4 linked regions of the Canis lupus familiaris genome follow. The protein of the gene in region 4 interacts with the protein of the main gene of each other region in a pairwise test. Links are inferred from orthologs where the notes say so. Each region holds a gene or a part of one and is shown on either strand. Other genes may lie near its edges.

Evidence for each region. The genes of interacting proteins can lie anywhere in the genome.
Region 1: the proteins of CEP63 (region 4) and NDEL1 interact in a two-hybrid assay, tested with the Homo sapiens proteins (2 studies listed by BioGRID and IntAct). The link is inferred for Canis lupus familiaris from reciprocal best matches to the Homo sapiens genes CEP63 and NDEL1.
Region 2: the proteins of CEP63 (region 4) and SNRNP70 interact in binary tests that used the Homo sapiens proteins (3 or more experiments, as listed by UniProt). The link is inferred for Canis lupus familiaris from reciprocal best matches to the Homo sapiens genes CEP63 and SNRNP70.
Region 3: the proteins of CEP63 (region 4) and GSE1 interact in a two-hybrid assay, tested with the Homo sapiens proteins (2 studies listed by BioGRID and IntAct). The link is inferred for Canis lupus familiaris from reciprocal best matches to the Homo sapiens genes CEP63 and GSE1.

What each region holds. Positions count from the first base shown.
Region 1 is NC_049226.1:33,423,308-33,428,029, forward strand, and holds part of NDEL1 (nuclear distribution protein nudE-like 1), read left to right. Parts: intron 1-588; coding exon 589-725; intron 726-2,131; coding exon 2,132-2,305; intron 2,306-3,774; exon of another isoform or gene 3,775-4,332; intron 4,333-4,722. UniProt on the Homo sapiens protein: Required for organization of the cellular microtubule array and microtubule anchoring at the centrosome. May regulate microtubule organization at least in part by targeting the microtubule severing protein KATNA1 to the centrosome.
Region 2 is NC_049222.1:108,020,333-108,025,054, forward strand, and holds part of SNRNP70 (U1 small nuclear ribonucleoprotein 70 kDa), read right to left. Parts: intron 3,158-4,722; coding exon 3,093-3,157; intron 2,928-3,092; coding exon 2,865-2,927; intron 1,971-2,864; coding exon 1,889-1,970; intron 1-1,888. UniProt on the Homo sapiens protein: Component of the spliceosomal U1 snRNP, which is essential for recognition of the pre-mRNA 5' splice-site and the subsequent assembly of the spliceosome. SNRNP70 binds to the loop I region of U1-snRNA.
Region 3 is NC_049226.1:67,514,552-67,519,273, reverse strand, and holds part of GSE1 (genetic suppressor element 1), read left to right. Parts: intron 1-1,706; coding exon 1,707-1,882; intron 1,883-2,329; coding exon 2,330-2,530; intron 2,531-3,072; coding exon 3,073-3,264; intron 3,265-3,675; coding exon 3,676-3,980; intron 3,981-4,481; coding exon 4,482-4,722.
Region 4 is NC_049244.1:31,766,721-31,771,971, forward strand, and holds the start of CEP63 (centrosomal protein of 63 kDa), read left to right. Parts: upstream 1-1,597; 5' UTR 1,598-1,605; coding exon 1,606-1,739; intron 1,740-1,968; exon of another isoform or gene 1,969-2,043; intron 2,044-2,077; exon of another isoform or gene 2,078-2,204; intron 2,205-5,251. UniProt on the Homo sapiens protein: Required for normal spindle assembly.

The sequences.
Region 1 (4,722 bases), on a different chromosome or scaffold from region 4:
GAGAGACTTCTTGATAAAATTGGCCAGGGCATTAGGAGTTCTAACTGGAGGTTATAGAACTTTATTTCTGTAGCAGATAGCACATATTGTCAGGGTGGTGGTGGTGGTGGTGGTGGTGGTGCATAGTAGGTGCTTGTTACTGTTTGCTGAATAAATGAGTAACATAAAAAATGCAGAAAGAGGAGTTAGGAAGTAAATGGAGTGGGAGCTAGGACTTGATGTTTCAAACAAATAACTAATTCTTAGTGTACTCTAAAATTGTTGAAAAGTTTTCTTCTTGAAAATGTGTAAACTTTGATTGTTTAACATTCAGTGGGGAGATATAATGTGTAATAAATGGCCTTCCTTTAAGGAATCATAGGGAATTTTGGCGGGAATTTAAAAGAATATATTGAATGGCCCGAACTAATAGCAGAGATACTAAATGCCACCAAAAGTCAGAAGGCATTGAGATCATTCTCTTTCAACTGGGCCAGGCTTTCTAGGTCAGGAAATGGCATGAGATCAACTGACATTTTTCTTTTGTATTAGCTATTTGCATGCTGCTTATTTAATTTGTGGACTCCATTTTTTTTTTTTTTTCTTAAGGGCAACAATAGTTTCACTGGAAGACTTTGAACAAAGGTTAAATCAGGCCATTGAACGCAATGCATTTTTAGAAAGTGAACTTGATGAAAAGGAATCTTTGTTGGTCTCCGTACAACGGTTAAAGGATGAAGCAAGAGGTAAAAACTGACAACTTAAAGTTTATCCTTTACCTTAATGTCTCTAAGTCCGAGTTCTAAGTTAGGTTTGGGATCTGCTCTGAAAGTTGTGCACATTTGTATACTTTTGTCAGGCACTACACTAAGTGTTTTTAGTCTCTTAACACCTATGAGCCAACTCTGAGAGGTAGGTAGTATCCCCATTTTATGGGTCAGAAAACCAAGGCATGGAGAGTTTGAGTTTTGTCCAAAGCCTTAAGAGCTTTTCAGTGGGAATTCAGACAATGGTCTTTTTTCCAAAACCTTAATTCTGTTCCCACTGTTCATGTCCTGCTTGGTTTGTTTTGGTGTTTTATATTTTGCTTCTGTGTAAATAATTTTGTGTTATGCACATAGTAACACTGCATATGTGCACATATTATAAAGAAGAGGCTATTTTCGTCTTTATGATATTCTGCATTCTACCATGTATTAAAAAGAGAGGGAGGGAAAGAGACTTTTAAAGGAAAGTATATAATCACCACATGCATAATATGTGTACAGCACTCTGACTTCCCTCCCCCTTTCCTCCCAGCCCCTGGAAACACCATTCTCCTTTCTGTGTCTATGAATCTGATGACTCTAGGGACCTCATATACTGGAGTCATACAGTGTTTGTCCTTTTGTCACTGGGGTTTTGTCCTTTTTCACTTAGTGTAATGTCCTTGAGGTTCATCCATGTGGTAGCACGTATCAGAATGTCCTTCCTATTTAAGGCTGAATAAGATCATATTAAATGCTTGTATTGCATTTTCTTTATCCATTATCCATGGGCAGACATTTGGATATAATACTCAGAAATGGGATAACTTTGTGTCCTTTTTAAATGTGTGTTCTGTAGGTCAGTTGCATAACTGGAAAAGAAAGTGTTAATTTTGGCTTAAAAATTCAGTATTTGAAAGCAAGAAAAAAATTGCAACTATTTTGAATACTTCTTTTCTAAAACAGAGTAGTGCATTTTGACAACTAATAAAAAAATACTAACCCATATAAAATTACAAAAATGTACTTCATTGATTTTGCAGTAATTGCCAAAGTACATCATTTCAAAATAAAAGCAAATGAGTTGAAAAGAATATTTATTTTTGTGTCGTATAGGCTCATTGCGAGTTGTTCTTTGGACTCTGCCCTATTTTTATATAATGAGCATAGTTAACTGTTCTCTTAGGTTATAGCATTTGTATCAATTCTAGCATTTAAAAATTATTCTCAAAGATCATTTAAACAGTAGGGTTGTCATTTTTATACCCTGAGGAAAAAAAAGTGTTATGTAGGAAACTCTTCTTTTGAGATATAGTAATTGTGGAAGTTATGGCATTTTAGAGGTGACTTTGCTTGGGTGATTTGCTTCCTCTGGTGAGTTCTATTACCTGTGCCCCATTTTGCAGATTTAAGACAAGAACTGGCAGTTCGGGAAAGACAACAGGAAGTAACCAGAAAGTCGGCCCCCAGTTCTCCGACTCTTGATTGTGAAAAGATGGACTCTGCTGTCCAGGCATCACTTTCTTTGCCAGCCACTCCTGTTGGCAAGGGCACAGAGAACAGTTTTCCTTCACCAAAAGGTTTGCAGTGTCTTTTCTTTCTGAACCTGTGGTAGATTATCCAACTGAGGAGGGTTTGCTGGGGAAGCAGGGCAAGGCACGTGTAAGTGATGGTTTCAGTGGAGAAGTTGGGGAAGTCACGCGCTCTGTGAGGCAGAAGAAGTTTCCACGGTTGCTCCCACACGGGGAGCGGGGTGACGGTGGCCACATGTAAAACAGGAGCAGCTCAATCAATTGAGATTTTAAAAAGAAAGGTTTTCAGGCAAAGTCGACCTTTTGATGATGGCAGTAATATACGCTTATGCCAAAAAATCGAGAAAGAAAAGAGAGGGGCCCATTCTTCAGTCCTACCCCTGAAAGCCAACTACTCTTGACACCAAATTTCCCTGCCATATGTGCTTGTTTGTTTTTGCACACGCCTACTTGTTTCACGTTTGGGGATCATTTTTATATATGGTTTATTTCTCTTGCCACTGAACCGATTGTAAAGGACTAGAAGCCTTCCTACACAGACTGTATAGAGACTCGTTGAGCTGCCATTCAGTCTCATGTAAGACTGGCTCAGGTGGACACGGCTGTTCTTTTACATGCTTACATGCATACATGTTCTTTTACATGGCTGCCGTTTTCAGAGGTGACGTTTGGAGTAACCAATGACTAATACATGGAGAATGTTCCTTTTTCCATCAGCAGAGGTTTTTTTTTTTTTTTTTTTTTTAATCCAGATAAGCAGAGAAAACACTTAGCAGCCACTATACACAGAACCTTACAATGGAACCCCAAAGCTCTTAATTCAGATTTATTTTGTTTTTGAGCTTATTGCTATTTCAGCATTTCCTATTCCTCCATACTTTTTTTCTTCCCAAAATAAGTTCTTTCTTCCCCTCTTTTTTAAGTAAAGGATTTTATCTTCCAGCGTGATAGAAGGATTTTTCTCTGGGCAGTTAGTGAAGTAAGTGCTCTGTGTCTGTGCCGACCATTCCAGTAGCCACTAGCCACATGTGACTGTTCACATTTCTATTAATGTTAGTTAAAATTTAAAATTCAGTTTCTCAGTTGTATTAGCTGCATTTCAGGTGCCCAGAAGCCCTTGAATGGATAACTACTCATCCCACTTTCATCTAGCTATTAGCGTGAAAATACTGTAGAGTCAGAGGTGGTGTTATTTGTACTCATGCTGAGTGTGCTGCTGAGGATGAGAGCAGGCAGGGTAGAGATGACAGCAGCCATCAGAAACTCACTGTCCACTTTTCAGAAGGGCTACTTGGGCATTTGAGGATCTCAGAATTGCTAACATTTGAGAATTAACAAAGATTTGCTTTTAGGTACTAACTAGAATTCTGCAGGTCAGTTCTGAAAATTTGTTAGTTGAGTACTAATCTTCTGAATAGTCTGGAACTTCAGTCAAGGTTAATACCCAGGGAGGTGCCCATCCTCTAATAGCTGATTAGAGTTTTAACTCAGGGACTTGGCTGCGGTGAGCCGGGCGAGGTCAGTGGGACACAGAGCTTGCTTGCTCTGGCAGAGGGTTAAGACATGTCAACTCCAAGGCAGGAAATTTGTCCAAGTAGACAGATTTTTAGACTGGAACTGATGGCATGAACTTTCACTAACCTAAAAGCTGCTGTGCGCTGGATCACAGCAGTTGAATGACAAATCAGTCAGGACAGACCTAATGAGAAGCAGGAGGTTAGAGGAATCAGTGCAAATTGGAAAGGCTGAGCCCGATGAAGTGGTCTGTCTTTAATTGCATTTCATCGATAACAATGACTGTTTCCAAAAAGCATTTAAGACAACTTACCATAAAAGCACAGGTTTCATAATTTGTGGAGAACAGGGAGAACTGAGATCTGGAAATCCTTGCTGGGAAAAGTACAGCAGTTTATTTATATCCTGTCAAGTGCCTGTTCTGTGCCACGCACTTTTCTAGGTGGTGGGGGTCGACTGGTGAATAATAAGGTGAAGTCCCTATCTTCAGTGAGACTATCTCCTGGAGGCTGAGGACAGAACAGCAGCAGCAACAAAGCATTTACATACTGAAGAGCACTCTGTAGAAAATGGATGAAAGAATAACAGCTAACATTTATTGAGTATTAACTATGTGCTAGGTATTTAAAAAGCATAGTAACTGAAACTTCATGATGACTTTATAAGTGCTGTCATTAGCCCTCTTCTACATATGGGCAACTTACTAAAGCTCACACAGTTACTGAATGGCAGAGATGGACTTGTCTCTTGCAGTGTAGCCCAAGAGCTATTAACCATCGTGTATATGACTTCAAAAATAAATTGAAGAAATGTGCATGACTGAAAACCTTTGCCGAGAGGCGTGCAAGAAGATGGGAATGTCACCCTGAATGGCTCCGATTCTGAATGGGAAGCCTCTTACAGTAGCCATTGTATCCAAATCAGTCAGCTGTTTAAATTCCTAATGACAT
Region 2 (4,722 bases), on a different chromosome or scaffold from region 4:
CAGGCAGAGGCAGTGGTGGACCCCAAAGAAACCTCATGGAGGCCTTGAAAGAGGGGGAGACAAGGATTAACATCAAGTCTAGGAGCTGGTAATGCCCTGGAACTAGCTTGTTGTATTTAAAAAGAAGGCTGGGGAGGCCTTAGCAAAACTGTTGGCCCTCACCTTTCCCAGTAAAGTCCACACTGAACTAGGCACACGCCCCACCCTCCTCGCAGCACATGGAAGGACTTCTCCACTTTGGATTCCACACTCCCTCCCACCACCTGCCACTCAAAGGCTGGCACATAAGGGACAGCCTGGGGGTGGGGGGTCCAGGAGATGGAGTGCTGCCCGTGATCTGGAGGAGGGGCCACTTGGCCCCCCCAAACCCAGAGGAGGGTATTACGGGAAAGGGATTTAAGGACCGGGAGCACAGTCAAGCAAAGGAACCCTGCTCTGGTTCAATGTCCCAAACCCCAGAAGAGGCCCAACCCAGGAGTACCAACAAAGAAATCATGTGACATGTGTACTTCTAGGCTTCTCTTTCTCTCCCTCTCTTAGGTCTCTAGACAGTGGAAGGGTCCTAAGTAAAATCTACAACACCATCAGCTACTTGCAGCCTGTCACTCAATCCCTCCCTCACCCCAATCCCCAATTCCATGCACTCTGCAGAGCCGCTGGGCACCACAGCCCTCTTGGTAGGCCTCAACCATGATAAGGCAGACAGAAAATGGGCACAGCAACCCGAGTCTAGCAACCAAAAAGATTCTCCAGGGCCACTACAGTGACAGCCCCACAGAAGAATGGGGGCAGGCAGCAAAGGGTTGAAGGGTTCCACACGTAGCCCTCACCCTCGTGCATCCCGTTTCAGTATTCCTGTAACCTTGCCGCTGACATCGTGAAGCCAGGTAAGTCAGGGGTGGGGTGGAGCCCAGTTGGAGAGGCCAGCAGCCTTTCCCATCAGGGTTCATCCTTTCCTTCCTGGGATCAGCAAGATTATCAGAGAGCATATGTGGATTGGGGGGAAGGGGTGGCAGAAGGGACAAGGGGCACCCAAACCAGGAAAGGGCTGTGGGTGCGGGAAGGCTGAGGGGGCGACTGGGGATGGGAAGAGGGACGCCTCACTGCTCCTGAGCTGCCTGGCTAAGCTGGGCTGGTGTGCGGTGCTGAGTGATCTTACCCATGATACAAACCCTTATACCAACCATACACTGAGGTGTTGTAAGGGGAGCGTAAGCATCAGCTGCAAGCCAGCTGCGTGGTGGCTGCAGTGACAATAAGAACAGTCAATTAATACGGCGGCCCCTGGACACGCCGCAGCCCTGCCCGCCCCCACCCACCCATCCCTGCCCATGTGGACGCCGCCGCAGCCTCAAAGGGGGCTTTGGAGATGGGGGGGCAGGCGCTGAACACGCCTACCAACCCACTGCCCGCTGAGGAACAGGGTGGGGGGCCAGGGGTGGGGAGGCAGAGGGTCGGGTGGCCCAGCCCCAGCTCTGCTGGGGGGGAAGAGAGGGCAGGTTCAAAGGCCAGTCCTCATTCCAACCTGGCCGCCCCCAATTCTGGTGGGGGGAATGGGGAGAGGCTCCCCGAACATCCGACCCCTTCCCCCAACCTCCAGCTGGCCCCAGCCCCCACCCAGTTCCCTCCTTGCCCCTGAGGTTCAACGTGTGACACTTACCTCCCCAGGTTCACACACACACACACGTTGTGGGGGATTTTGGTTTTTGTTTTTTAAAAAACACGTATATAAAAAAAAAAAAGATATATCAGAAACAGAGGGAGGAGGAGAAGAGACATCGCTAATGTCAGGTTTGGCAGGGTGGGGGGTGGGGACAGACGACGGGAAGGGGCTGGGCAGCATAGAGAGAGAGGGTCAGAGGGCAGGGCTCAGGCCTGAGGTACTCACAATGCATGTCTCGCTCATGTTCATACTCGATGAAGGCATAGCCGCGGGGCTTTCCTGACCGCTTACTGTAGACCATGTGTATCTGGGGGGAGGCGGGCAAAGATTAGTTCTCAGGCAAGGAAATCCCACCCATTCAATCGCAGAGCCTGCGTGCCAGGCCCTGGGCTAGCTCCTGCCAGCGACAGATGTCTCAGACCCCTCTCCCTGTCCTCAAGAGCCCAGAGTGACTAATGCTCTCATCATACTGGGCTCAGCAGTGTTTGTGCACAATGATCTCCAGCCATCACTACTGCCCAGAGCACTCCAGTGACTTCAAGAATTCAAGACATGTCAGTTAAACATAAAGCCTTGCTCTAAAATGAGAATCAGCACACACATTTATACTTTGTCTCTAAAGGGCCAGACAACAGATATTTTCAGCTCAGAGGGCCTTACAATCTGTCCAATTACCGGACTGCCTTACACCAACAGCAGTCACAGACGATAGTGAACAAATGGGCTTGACTGGTTACCAATAAACCTTTATTTACAAATAGTTTGTAGTCTGCTGACCCATACCCTAAATCAACAAAAAAGCAGCTGTTACTTCCTAATTTTACTCCTGCTACCCCAAGGTCTGCTGCATAGAAATGTAGTCAATTTGGGGATCCCTGGGTGGCGCAGCGGTTTAGCGCCTGCCTTTGGCCCAGGGCGCGATCCTGGAGACCCGGGATCGAATCCCACATCGGGCTCCCGGTGCATGGAGCCTGCTTCTCCCTCTGCCTGTGTCTCTGCCTCTCTCTCTCTCTCTCTCTCTGTGTGACTATCATAAATAAATTAAAAAAAAAAAAAAAAAAGAAATGTAGTCAATTTGTAAATGCAGGCCACGGCTTCTGAAGCCCCAACATGATGGGATGCATCCTCAGGGCCAAGAGCCAGCCTTCTCCCTCCCTGCACCCTGTTCCAATTCAAGCAGCCCAGACCCCAGTCCACTCACTCTTTTAATGGGTCCGTATACCTCGAACTCTCTCCGGAGCTTGGATTCTGTTGTGTCATAGTTCTACCAGGAGACAGATACAAAGTTAAGTGGGAGAAACAAGCTGTCCCAAAGCCCTCAGAACGTTCCAGAACTTAGCCTACTGTCCATTGTCCCAAACCCAAACTCTCACCAGCCCCGGGTTCTAGGCTCCTCTGGGGCTCCAGGGGTGGGGAGCTGGGGACTCACCACTCTAGCCACAAAGAGAGTCTTGAAGGCATCACCCTGAGCATTGGGATCATTGTGAGGGTCCCCTGTGCAGGAAGAACAGAATGGCTAAGTACAAGGTGTCAACAGTCTCATTTGGCAAGACAGACACAGAAAATGGGTGGAGGCCCATTTGCTAGAAGAAAACCGTTGTGACCTAGAGGCCTCGGGCATGCTCCTCTCTCCAGTTTCCCTAGAGCACAGTGGCCTTTATGTGAGTAGCCAATTTAGGCTGATGGGGAAAGGGGCTAGGCAACCTCAAGCTCACTGGATAGGGCTGGCCTGAACGCAATTTCAGACCTACACATGCTACAGCTCCAGTCCCTTCTAGGGGAAGACTGGGCGTCTCTGCAGAGGCAGCCTGATCACTCCAGGTGCCCAGTTTCCTCCCTCACCTGCAGGGCCACACTGCCACCCGTTGGCATAGAGTGCAACTACAGCTCAGAGAAACCTTAGATAAAGACTGAGGGAGGGCCGGGAGGGAAGCCAGAGTGCCCCAGCCTCCAGCCTTGCCTTCTTCCCTTTGTACTATGGCCTCTGTGCCTCAGGAAGAAACCAAGGGCACAAGATGCTGATCATATTCTTACTCCTGCAAGGCCACTGAGGAATAACTGTCTCCACAGACAGAAGCAGAGATCTATTACAAAACCAATTCCAGAAGTGATTCTTATGGCTCAGGCCTGGGAAGAAGTCCTTTTCACAGACTACGGTGACCCAGTCACATACAATGGCCCTTGACTCCTCCCAGGGCCCCAGTGGCACCCTGACCACCGCCCAGTGGAGGCGTTTCTTCCATGACACAGTGTCACCTTAGAATGACCTGCCATATTGTGGAGAATATGAGAAAAGAAACATTAATAATGTATTGCCCACGTGATTAGGCCAGGCACTGTGCTAGATGTGGAGAGTCCATCATTTTGCAAATGGAAACAAAACTAGCCCCTGATGCATGGAAGAAGAAAAAGCATCAGATCAGCAAAGAGGCCAAGCCCCGCTCTATAGCCCAGCCTGGCCTCATGGGCCAGGGGCTCCATGATGAATACTTAGGCCCTAACTAGCTCCGTAAAAAGACATTCTAGATATTATCAGAAGCCAGAGAAATAAAACTACAGGTCTGTTTTCTGTGAGAGGGCGACACCGCAAACCTAAATGAAGTGCAAGGTGATTTTAGAGAATTTACTAAAAAGCAGAGAATGGAGCCCACATCTAAAAGAATAACTACCTGGAAACTGATGGTAGCCTTTGATGATGACGCTGTCTTTGAGCCTGCCCCTCCGGTTGTTCACCCTACTTCATCCCCCTGTGCTGTGATTTTCTGTGCCCCAGTATTTCAGCCTGCACCGGGCGGCTCTCATCTATTCACCCAACAGGTACCTGTTAAGTACTAGCAAGCACCTGGAACTGTCATAAGGTGTCAGGGATTCAAGAATGAGCCAGACAAAAAAAGATCCCTGCCCTCTCAGAGAACAGACACAAATGCAGGGAGGCTGACCATGAACAAGGTAAGGGGACCGTCTAGTTCTCTCAGATGATGACAGTCCCAGGCAGAAGAGCTGTAAAGGGAAGGTCAGGAAAGGCCTCACTGGTATAAGGACGTTTGACCCAAGACCTC
Region 3 (4,722 bases), on a different chromosome or scaffold from region 4:
CCTCTACTGCCTGCCCCGCCTCGTCCACGGGCTGGCAGTGGCTGCTGGGGGTTGGGGGGGTGCGATTAGAGTGCGCAGCCCAGTGATAAACTGGGGGCTCTGCAGCTTGCACCCCCAACTGTACCAGAGAACAGAGAACCTCAGCCATGGCCGAGCCAGGACTGGGGGGTATCTCCTCCGGGGACGGGGCTCAGCCTCTGTGTGTCCAGCGATCGTTCTTAGACGTGTTCTCCAGTTTTTGCCTTGTTGAGGAGACGTGGTCCAAGCGTTGTGGTTCCCCCCTTTTTTCTAAGATTTTATTTATTTATTCATGAGAGACAGAGAGAAGCAGAGACACAGGCAGAGGGAGAAGCAGGCTCCAGGCAGGGAGCCCGATACAGGACTCAATCCCAGGATCCTGGGATCACACCCCAAGCCAAAGGCAGACACTCAACCAGTGAGCCACCTAGGGCCCCCCACCCCCCGCCCGCTTGTTTTCAAGGTGTGCTGCTTGTTTGGTGGCACAGGGGAACTACCGTGGATTTGGGTGGACATGCTGGGCTGTGACCCCCATGACTGCCACCTGCTGTCTCCCGATCCCCGTTTGCTGCCTGCTGGGGGTGGGCCTGGTGGTCCAGCCAGGTGAAGGAGGGACCTGGCCCAGGAGCTCTCGGGGTCAGGGGAGGCTGCAGCCACCACCTTGGAACCCGTGTGGCCAAGGTCGGACCTGGGCTAGTGGTGACCTCCCTTGGGCTGAGAAGGGCTGTCCCAATGATGGAGCGTCCCCCCCCCCCCCCCCAATTTACGTGGCTCCCTTTAGCCATGTAAATGACAGGAGCGCTCACAACTGTGGGTGGTGTGTGCTCTCGGGGCTAGACAGACACTCCTGCCCTGGCCGTGGTAGGGGCTCCTGTTGCTCCCCCCTCTTCCTGTCTTGAGCATCCCCCTTCTCTGGTTTCCCAGGGTCTGCCTCCCCACCAGGTCCCTCTGTATGTCCAGGAGTCTGGGGTCAGCAGGGCCACGGCCCACCCCCAGTGTGTACAGAGGTGTCCCCAGACAGGTCTGACCAGTTGGGTGCCACAGCTGCCTACTGTGGCTGGTGCCAGGGCTACCCCAGGGGCTGGCAGGGGGGTTAGGCTGGCGTGTTCAGCCTGGGGGCAGTGCCAGCTTCTCGGCTGTGACTCTCTGTGGGCGCCAGGGGGCCGAGGTATCTGTGACGCGTGCTGGCAGCTGTCAGCACAGCTGACGCTTCAGCCCCTGGGGGTCGTCTGTGCATGCTTGGTGATCAGCGCGCGGGGCTCTGGCTGGTTCTGCTGCTCCCTGCTGCAGAGTAGAGCTCACTTTCTGGGGTTGCTGGAACCACGTCGTCCCTGGGTTTGGGTTCAGAGCTGGCATGGCGCTGTGAGAAACGCACACTGGGAAGACATGGGTGTTGGCTCGAGGTGGGGACTGTGCTGTGTCCCCTTGTGGGCGCTTGTTTCCATGGCCCCGGCAATCAGATGGGTTCCCGTCCTGCCCGGCATGAGAACCTGTGCCCTCCCGTCTCACCACCTCACCATGCTTGCTCCCTCCTGTGCGCACCCCAGGTCTGGGTAGAAACCCTTAAGGAAAGTCCTCCAGAACGGGAGCCTCTCTGAGCCTGGGGAGCCCCGGCCTTGCGTTGTCAGCAGTCTGAGCCGGCTCCTGCCCCGCGGCCCTGTCCTGACCCAGTGCTCTCTGTCCTCCAGCAGGACGCCGGCTCTCGGGGCAGCAGCAGTGGTCGGGAGCGCCTCATCGTGGAGCCCCCGCTGCCCCAGGAGAAGGCAGGGGGCCCAGCCATCCCCTCCCACCTGCTCAGCACCCCCTACCCTTTCGGCATCTCCCCCAGCTCTGTGGTGCAGGACTCACGCTTCCCACCACTCAAGTAAGTCTGCAGATTGGAGGCCGGGGGGTTGGGGGGGGTGCACATGTGCTTGGGGTCTGGATCCCGGAGGCTCTAGCGGCAGTGCCCGGCGGTGGGTCTGTACCAGCTGAGCCTGAGAGCTGCCAGATGGTGGCTGAGCCCCGGGCCTGCAGCCCCGTCTGTGCCTGCTGTCCGTTTCCACGGTGAGATGGCGGCTGGCTCTCCGACCCCACCCGAGCCCCTGTTCTGAGCCCTTGGAGCCAGGGGTTCCTCCAGGCCATGGATGGCAGGCCCGAGGAGCAGCCACTGCCCACGTCTTGTTTGCAGAGGCCAGGACCTGTCTCTGGAGACCCCTTGTTCTGGCGGCGGCGGGAACAGGGGTGTGTGGGGAGACTGGCCTGTTGCCCAGCCTGGCGCAGGAGCCCTGCTCACCACATCTTTCACTCATCCACGTGTCCTCACCTGCAGCCTCCAGCGGCCCGTGCACCACGTGGTGCCCCCCAGCACGGTCACCGAGGACTACCTGAGGAGCTTCCGGCCTTACCACACCACCGAGGACCTCCGCATGTCCTCCCTGCCTCCCCTTGGCCTGGACCCAGCCGCTGCGGCCGCTGCCTACTACCACCCCAGCTACCTGGCCCCACACCCGTTCCCCCACCCGGCCTTCAGGTGAGCTCTCTGCCCCCCAGTGAGTCCCCGGGGCTGTTGCCCCCATGCCCTCATGCCCTGTACCAGGCTCCATGTCTCAGTGCAGCCACCAGCCTTCCAAGTTGCCAGCAGGGGTTTGCCCCCGGGAGTGCCCCCTTCATCCATGCTGTCCCTCTGCCAGACGCTCCCCCATTTCCTTGTGGGCCTGCTGCTGGCACGGCGCGTCTTCACCTAGTGGAGCCACCCCTTTGCTGCGTAACTGAGACGGCCCGGGGAAGGTGTGTCCCTCATCTCTGCTGGGTGGAGGAGCCTCCCAATTCCTAGCCCGCCCGTCGGTAGAGCGGGCTGCTCCCAGGGGGCCTGCTGCTCGGGCCTGGGAGGGTCCTGGCTGGGCTGCAGCGTGGCAGGCAGTCTCTCAGGGCCTTTGGGGAGACTCCCGGCCTCTGTCCTGTCTGCCGCACTCACGTCAACACTCCTACCTGGCTGGGGGGTCTGTTGAGATGGGCCCGGGCTTTGCCTTCTCTGGCTTTGCTTCTCACCTGGCCCCTACCTTCTCTGCACAGGATGGATGACTCCTACTGCTTGTCAGCCCTACGGTCCCCTTTCTACCCCATTCCCACGCCCGGCTCCCTGCCTCCCCTGCACCCGTCGGCTATGCATCTCCACCTCTCCGGGGTCCGCTATCCCCCTGAGCTCTCCCACTCGTCCCTGGCAGCGCTGCACTCAGAGCGGATGTCCAGCCTCAGTGCCGAGAGGTAAGCTGCGTCCTGGGCTGGGGTGTCCCTGCTCCTCCCGCCCTGACAGAGTGCAGCACAGCCCACGTCAGAGCCTGGCTCATGCGTGCTTGGGCTAGTACACGTGTCCTTGGTCTGCGCACCTGCGAGGTGGGCAGTGACAGGTGCTGCAGTTGGAGCTCCTTGCTGGTACCTGGCAGCGCTGTTGTCAGACACCGGCCTCCTGGTGTGAGCTGCTGAGGCTTGGGGAGTTGGGCGGGTGGCTTTTGGTCCGGGGAACTTGGAGTCTCTTGGGGAGTTCATAAAAGCAGAGAGCCCTGCGAACCTGCTGTCGGGGTGCAGGTCACGGTGCCAGTCTCCCCTTGGGGGGGTTTCCTGGTCCCCCCTGCACCAGCACAGCGGTTGTCACCACCTCTTTCCACTCGCCCACAGGCTGCAGCTGGATGAGGAGCTGAGGCGGGAGCGCGAGCGGGAAGCTGACCGCGAGCGGGAGAAGGAGCGTGAGCGAGAGCGGGAGAAGGAGCGCGAGCGGGAGAAGGAGCTGGAACGCGAGCGGGAGAAGGAACGGGAGCGGGAGCTGGAGCGCCAGCGGGAGCAGCGGGCCCGTGAGAAGGAGCTGCTGGCGGCCAAGGCGCTGGAGCCGGCCTTCCTGCCGGTGGCTGAGCTGCACGGGCTGCGGGCCCACGCCCCCGAGGAGCGGGGCAAGCCCTCGGAGCAGCTGACCCCGACCCGAGCAGGTACCGCGTGGCCGGCGACCTGTGGGCAGGCGCGCGCTACAGGGCCCATTTCAGGCTACAAATGTGAGGTCAGGGCTGGGAGCTGGGGAGACGTGCCCGGTGGCCCCCAATAGGAGTACGAGAGATGGAGCTCTCCTCGGGGTGCTGCACGCAGTAGTAAACTGCAGTGAAAGCGTTAGGAAGCGAGGGGTGGGTTTTGAGTGTTCTTTACCTTTGTCTTGAACGTCGGCTGCTTCATTGGGAATATACTTAATCAGCCCTGGGAACGGCTCGCTAACCGGTGTGCGTGGTGGTAGAGAAGTCAGCCTGCCGTTGTGAGCCAGTGCGAGCCCGCTGCGGCACTCCGGTGGGTCCGACTGGGAGCAGTGCCCACCGCCAGCGAGCATCCCCGGAGGTCGTCTGCCCTGGCGAGAGGGGCAGGTGGCAGTGGGAGACAGCGGGGACGTGTGGACCGGCCCGCAGCTCTGAGATCCCGCCGTGGCGGCCTTTCTCTCCCCACAGAGAAGCTGAAGGAGGCGGGCCTGCAAGCACCGAAGCCCGTGCAGCACCCCTTGCATCCCGCGCCCGCCCCCCACCACACCGTGCCCAGCCTCCTCTCCAACCACAGCATCTTCTCGCTGCCGGGCAGCAGCGCCGCCACGGCCCTGCTCATCCAGCGCACCAACGAGGAGGAGAAGTGGCTGGCGCGGCAGCGGCGCCTGCGGCAGGAGAAGGAGGACCGGCAGTCTCAGGTGTCAGAATT
Region 4 (5,251 bases):
ACATCCTTTCCAAATTTGGCCTCCAGCTTTCTTCACTGTCCCTCTTCCAAATACCACTAACCCTGTTATACTTCCCTGGCTTTGCACTTAAAAGCCTCCCCACCCCACCACCACCCTCCCCCAATCACCAACGCCTACTCTTCCTTCCAAACTCAACACTGGTGTCAGCTCACCGGGTCAACAACTCATTTCCAGAGTCAGGCACTAAGGTGCCTTCACTGAATCTTCAGGGGCTGAAGAATGGAAACGATCAAGACCCCAAAGATTCAGATGCAGTGAAACGCCGGGACACCTGCACCCCGATGTTTCTAGCAGCAATGTCCACAATAGCCAGCCTGTGGAAGGAGCCTCGGTGTCCACGAAAGATGAATGGATCAAGAAGCTGTGGTTTATGTATACAATGGAATATTCCTCAGCCATTAGAGACGACAAATACCCACCATTTGCTTCGACGTGGATGGAACTGGAGGGTATTATGCTGAGTGAATAAGTCAATCGGAGAAGGACAATCATTTATTGTATGGTCTCATTCATTTGGGGAATATAAAAATTAGTGAAAGGGAATAAAGGGGAAAGGAGAAAAAATGAGTGGGAAACACCAGAAAGGGAGACAGAACATGAGAGACTCCTAACTCTGGGAAACGAACTAGGGGTGGTGGAAGGGGAGGAGGGCAGGGGGGTGGGGGGTGACTGGGTGACGGGCACTGAGGGGGGCACTTGGCAGGGTGAGCACTGGGTGTTATGCTATATGTTGGCAAATTGAACTCCAATAAATAAATTAAAAAAAAAAAAAAAAAAAGACCGGCAACGTCCGGGACACGGCCACTGTCCCGAGCACGTGCCACACTCGACAGAATGAGACACTACTACCTTCCCTAACGAACCTTCTCTTACGCACGTGACAGCCCGGGGCCTCCGGAGCAGGTGCTCCGTACAATGTTTCCAGCCACCCCCCGCCCCCCATCAGTCTACAAGACTTGGCTCCCGGGTCATCTCCCGCAGGAGGGCGGTTCCTAGACCCAGGCGGGGCGCGGTCCTCGTCCCTCCTGGGGTCCCTCAGTTCCCTGGACACAGCGAGTGGTCCCAACGCGGAGCTCGTCACACTTTCCCAGACCCGTGGTGTCATCCGGTTTCTGTGCTTTGCAGATCCGCAAGCCGGCGGTTAACGCGAACTAAGCGGGCCCGCCTTCCCCCGCGCTAGAAATGACCCTCGCGGGCCACCACCAGCCGTCCGCAAGCAGGGGGCCGCCCCGGTCCCCACTTCCGGCTGGAGATACCAAGTGTGGAAGCGGGGGAGGCCCGGAGCCGCCACGCGAGTGCCTTTCCACCCTCCAGGGCGAGCGGTGGGGACAGTGGTTGTGAAGATGAAGTGAAGACATCGGCCTCCACTGACGGGAGCGGGGAGAGGCGCCGCTGAGGAACCAACGCGTCCTCGTCCCTCCAAAACCGGGACTAGGGGCGCGGGAAAGCCTTACCCGCACCGGACTCAGCGCCGCACCCGCTTCCACCGGAACTTCCACCCCCCACCCCGCGCCTCTGAGGATCACGTGACCCGCGCGGTCCTGCGCTCCGATCCCCGGATGTGATGTGGGTGAGCCCATTTGCATGCGCGGAGGGGCGTCCTGGGAGGACGCTGCTCCGAGGAAGAAGCGAGGGGGCAGTGGGCGGAACGAACGTGCGGACGGCGGAGGCCGGACGTCGGGGTCGGCGGTGACGCGCGTGCGCGCCCCCGGCCGGAGGTAACGGCGGGAAGGCTCGGGGGCGCGCGCGCGTGCGCAGCGGCCCAGTAACCGCATGTGCGCCCGGTGGACGGGCGAGGGGCGGGCGTGTCCCGGTCCGGAGGCAGCCCTGGCTGCGGCGGCGCCGCGGGCTGCCCGGCCGTACGGCCCGGGGCTGGCGTCCGCCGCCGCCCGCTGGCCCCCGGGCCCGCCCTCGCCGGCCCGGCTCCGCTGCGGCGCCCCGCCCGTCGGCCTCGCCGCGTGTGCCCTGCGGAGCCGCGAAGGCGGACGTGGCCTTTGGCGGCGCGCCGTCCGGGCCAGCCAGGTGGTCAGCCCCTCCCCCGAGGCCGGGCCGGCGGGAGGGCGGCGGGGGGGGCGAGCTGCCGCCCAGGCCTCGTCTTCCGCGGCGGAGCCGGCTGCGGGCCGCTCTTCCTTTGCAGAGGAGGGACCCCCGGCACAGCCCTCCCGCCTAGGCTGCCAGATCTGGTTAGCTTCCCAGCGTTGTTGCGGCTTAGCCTTGGCGGCACTGGGGCCGATTCGCCTGGGGGCGGGGCGGGGGGCACGAGCAGTTTTTATTTTTATTTAAAAAAAAAATTTTTTTTAGCAGTTTTTAAAAAGTGAGTTAATAATGTTCGTCCAAGAGGTACGGAAATGCAGGAATCGTGAAGGACTGAAGAAGTTGGGAAACCCTGAGTTCACCGATCGTCTGACATCAGGGGCGCGAAAGAAATGATCCAGGGCTTAAAAGGGACAGTTCCTTAGGAGCACTTTATTTATTTATTTATTTATTTAAAAGATTTTATTTATTTATTCACGAGAGACAGGCAGGGACACAAGCAGCGGGAGAAGCAGGCTCCATGCAGGGAGCCCGAGGTGGGCCTCGATCCCGGGTCCCCAGGATCACGCCCTGGGTCAAAGGCAGGCGCTGAACCGATGAGCCACCCAGGCTGCCCCTTAGGGGCACTTTAAAAAAAAAAATTTTTTTTTTTTTAAGATTCTACTTATTTATTCATTCATGATAGACATAGAAAGGCAGAGACACAGGCAGAGGGAGAAGCAGGCTCCATGCAGGGAGCCCGACGTGGGGCTCGATCCCGGGTGTCCAGGATCAGGCCCTGGGCCACAGGCAGGCGCTGAACTGCTGAGCCACCCAGGGATCCCCCCTTAGGAGCACTTTAATCGTGAAGATACTTGAGGGCCCTAAGCCTAGGGCGCATACTGTCTTCCTTAACGTTCCTTACCAGCCTCAGAGTAAAAACGAGTCCAAGGTCATTGACTAGTCTTGATTTGTAGTTAGAGTAGCCTTATTTGCAGAGAGTAGTTTTCCTTGAGCCTTTCATCCGATTCCTTAAATAATTTCACACTTAATAAAGAAGTATTATAGTGTAGGTACACTACGGTAATACAGAAGTTCCCTAACTGCTTGCATTCCGTTTTATTTTATTTTATAGAGGCGAAGAGGAAGCCCTAGTAAGGACCATCAACTACATGTAACATCTACATATTCACATTTACACGTATTATAGCTGTAGCGTAATCATATAATAAGCTTCTGTATTTTCTTACTTGAAATACAGTACCGCCTTTAGTTTGTCATCAGCTTCTTGCCCCTCTGGCTACACCGTTCTCAGTGATCAGTATAGTAGAAGTGAAATTCTCTTGGGTTACAGACTCCTAAACATTTAGACATTCACACTGCCCTTCAGTGCATGTAGGTTCAGGTTTTAAAAATTATTTGTAATAAATGTGTATGTTAAGTGTACTGTGCCATATTCCTCGCATTAGAAGGTAGAAGATCTTTGCTTTGTCCTTCCTTTTCTCATTTAACGTTGCAGTGGTGGCCAGCTGTGACAAGATCAGTAAACCACTCTATCAGAGTTCCCTACTTAAAAAAAAAAGTCAACTTGATTTGAAATTCATCTGAAGCCAACATGAACAGGGATTGCAAGGATTTAATTTATTTTTATGTTAGGGTACCCGCAGCTAAATTTTTATGTTAGGGTACCCGCAGCTAAATTTGCTTTTTCAGCTTTACAAAACCATAGTCCTGTCATCACACTTACAAAAATTTATAAAAATTCCATGATGTCGATATTCAGTCTGGGTTTAGATTTCCCCAAGTGTCCCTTAAGTGACTTTTTACAATTAGCTCTTTTGAAGCAAAATCCCATAGAGATTCACATGTTGCATTGGTTGATACATCGATTAAATCTTTTTAAATAGAGCGGTTCCCTTGTGTCCCTTGTCCCCCTTAATATTCTAGATTTAGCTGATTGCATCTGCATGACATCCTTTTAACATGTACATCTTTTCCCTTTAAACCAGTAGTTAGATCTAGAATTGCACTGTCCACTATAGTAGCCACCAGCCAGCTGTAGCTATTAAATATTACCATGATATAAAACTAAAAATTCAGTTCCCTGGCTTCATTAGCCACATTTCAAGTGCCCAGTGGTCACAAGTGCCTGGTGGCTACCCTTTGAATGGTGCAGAAGTAAAATTTTTCAATAATTGCAGAAAGTTCTGTTGAATAGCACTGATCTAGAAGATCAGATTTAACTTTAATTTTGTGTGTGTGTGTGTGTGGGGGGGGGGTCAAGACGATTTTCCAGGTGGTACAGTAGACAATCTATTGCATTATCAGAGAGGTATGAAATGTCTGAGTTGTCTCTCTCTTAAGATTGAGCAATGTAATGGGTTCAAATATTGTTAGCCCAATCCATCCATTGTGAAATTCCCCATGAGCTTTTCACTTAATGGTGAACTCTTTTTTACAGATTTATATCGCCTATATTCATTATTGCATTAGGGATTGCAGAATGGTGATTTTCCCACTCCTGCCATTCCTTCAATATTTATTAGCTGGAAATCTTTTATGAGAAGAACTCTACCCCAGCAGCTATTTGACTGTCATCAGCTATTTGAAATATATTTTGTAGAGGAAAGGCAAGGAAAATGCTTAATTCTTTCCCTCTATTTTCAGACTACAGTAATGAGTTGGTGGCTTAGCAACCTCCAAAGGTAACCATGAGGGTTTTTGCCCTTTTTTTTTTTTTTTAATCATCATGGAGTTGAATATATTTAAACTGTTTCAACTTATTGCAGTCTTTTTTTTTTTTTTTTTTTTTTAATACTCAAATTGTCCTGCCTTTGGTCAGTGGCTTCCCCTTTAAGTTGGTTCCTGTCCACCTTGTTATGATTAGTAGTCTTTGATAATCAGTTTACCTATTTTCTGGTAAAACATGTTCCTCCCTCATTTATACATTAATGCCCACCAAAATGCCCTGGCTCTTTAGAGTAGGAACCAGTATTTAGAGACCACAGTCTGGGTGCTACAGGTGCTCTTATTGTTAGGTTGGTCAATGGTTCTAGCATTCACAGTGGCCAGTTAGGAAATATATATAGTTTTAAACAAATATACAGAATTCATACTGATATTTACATTTTATTTTATTTGTTATTTTTAAAGATTTTATTTACTCATGAGAGAGAGAGAGGCAGAGACACAGGCAGAGGGAGAAGCAGGCTCCATA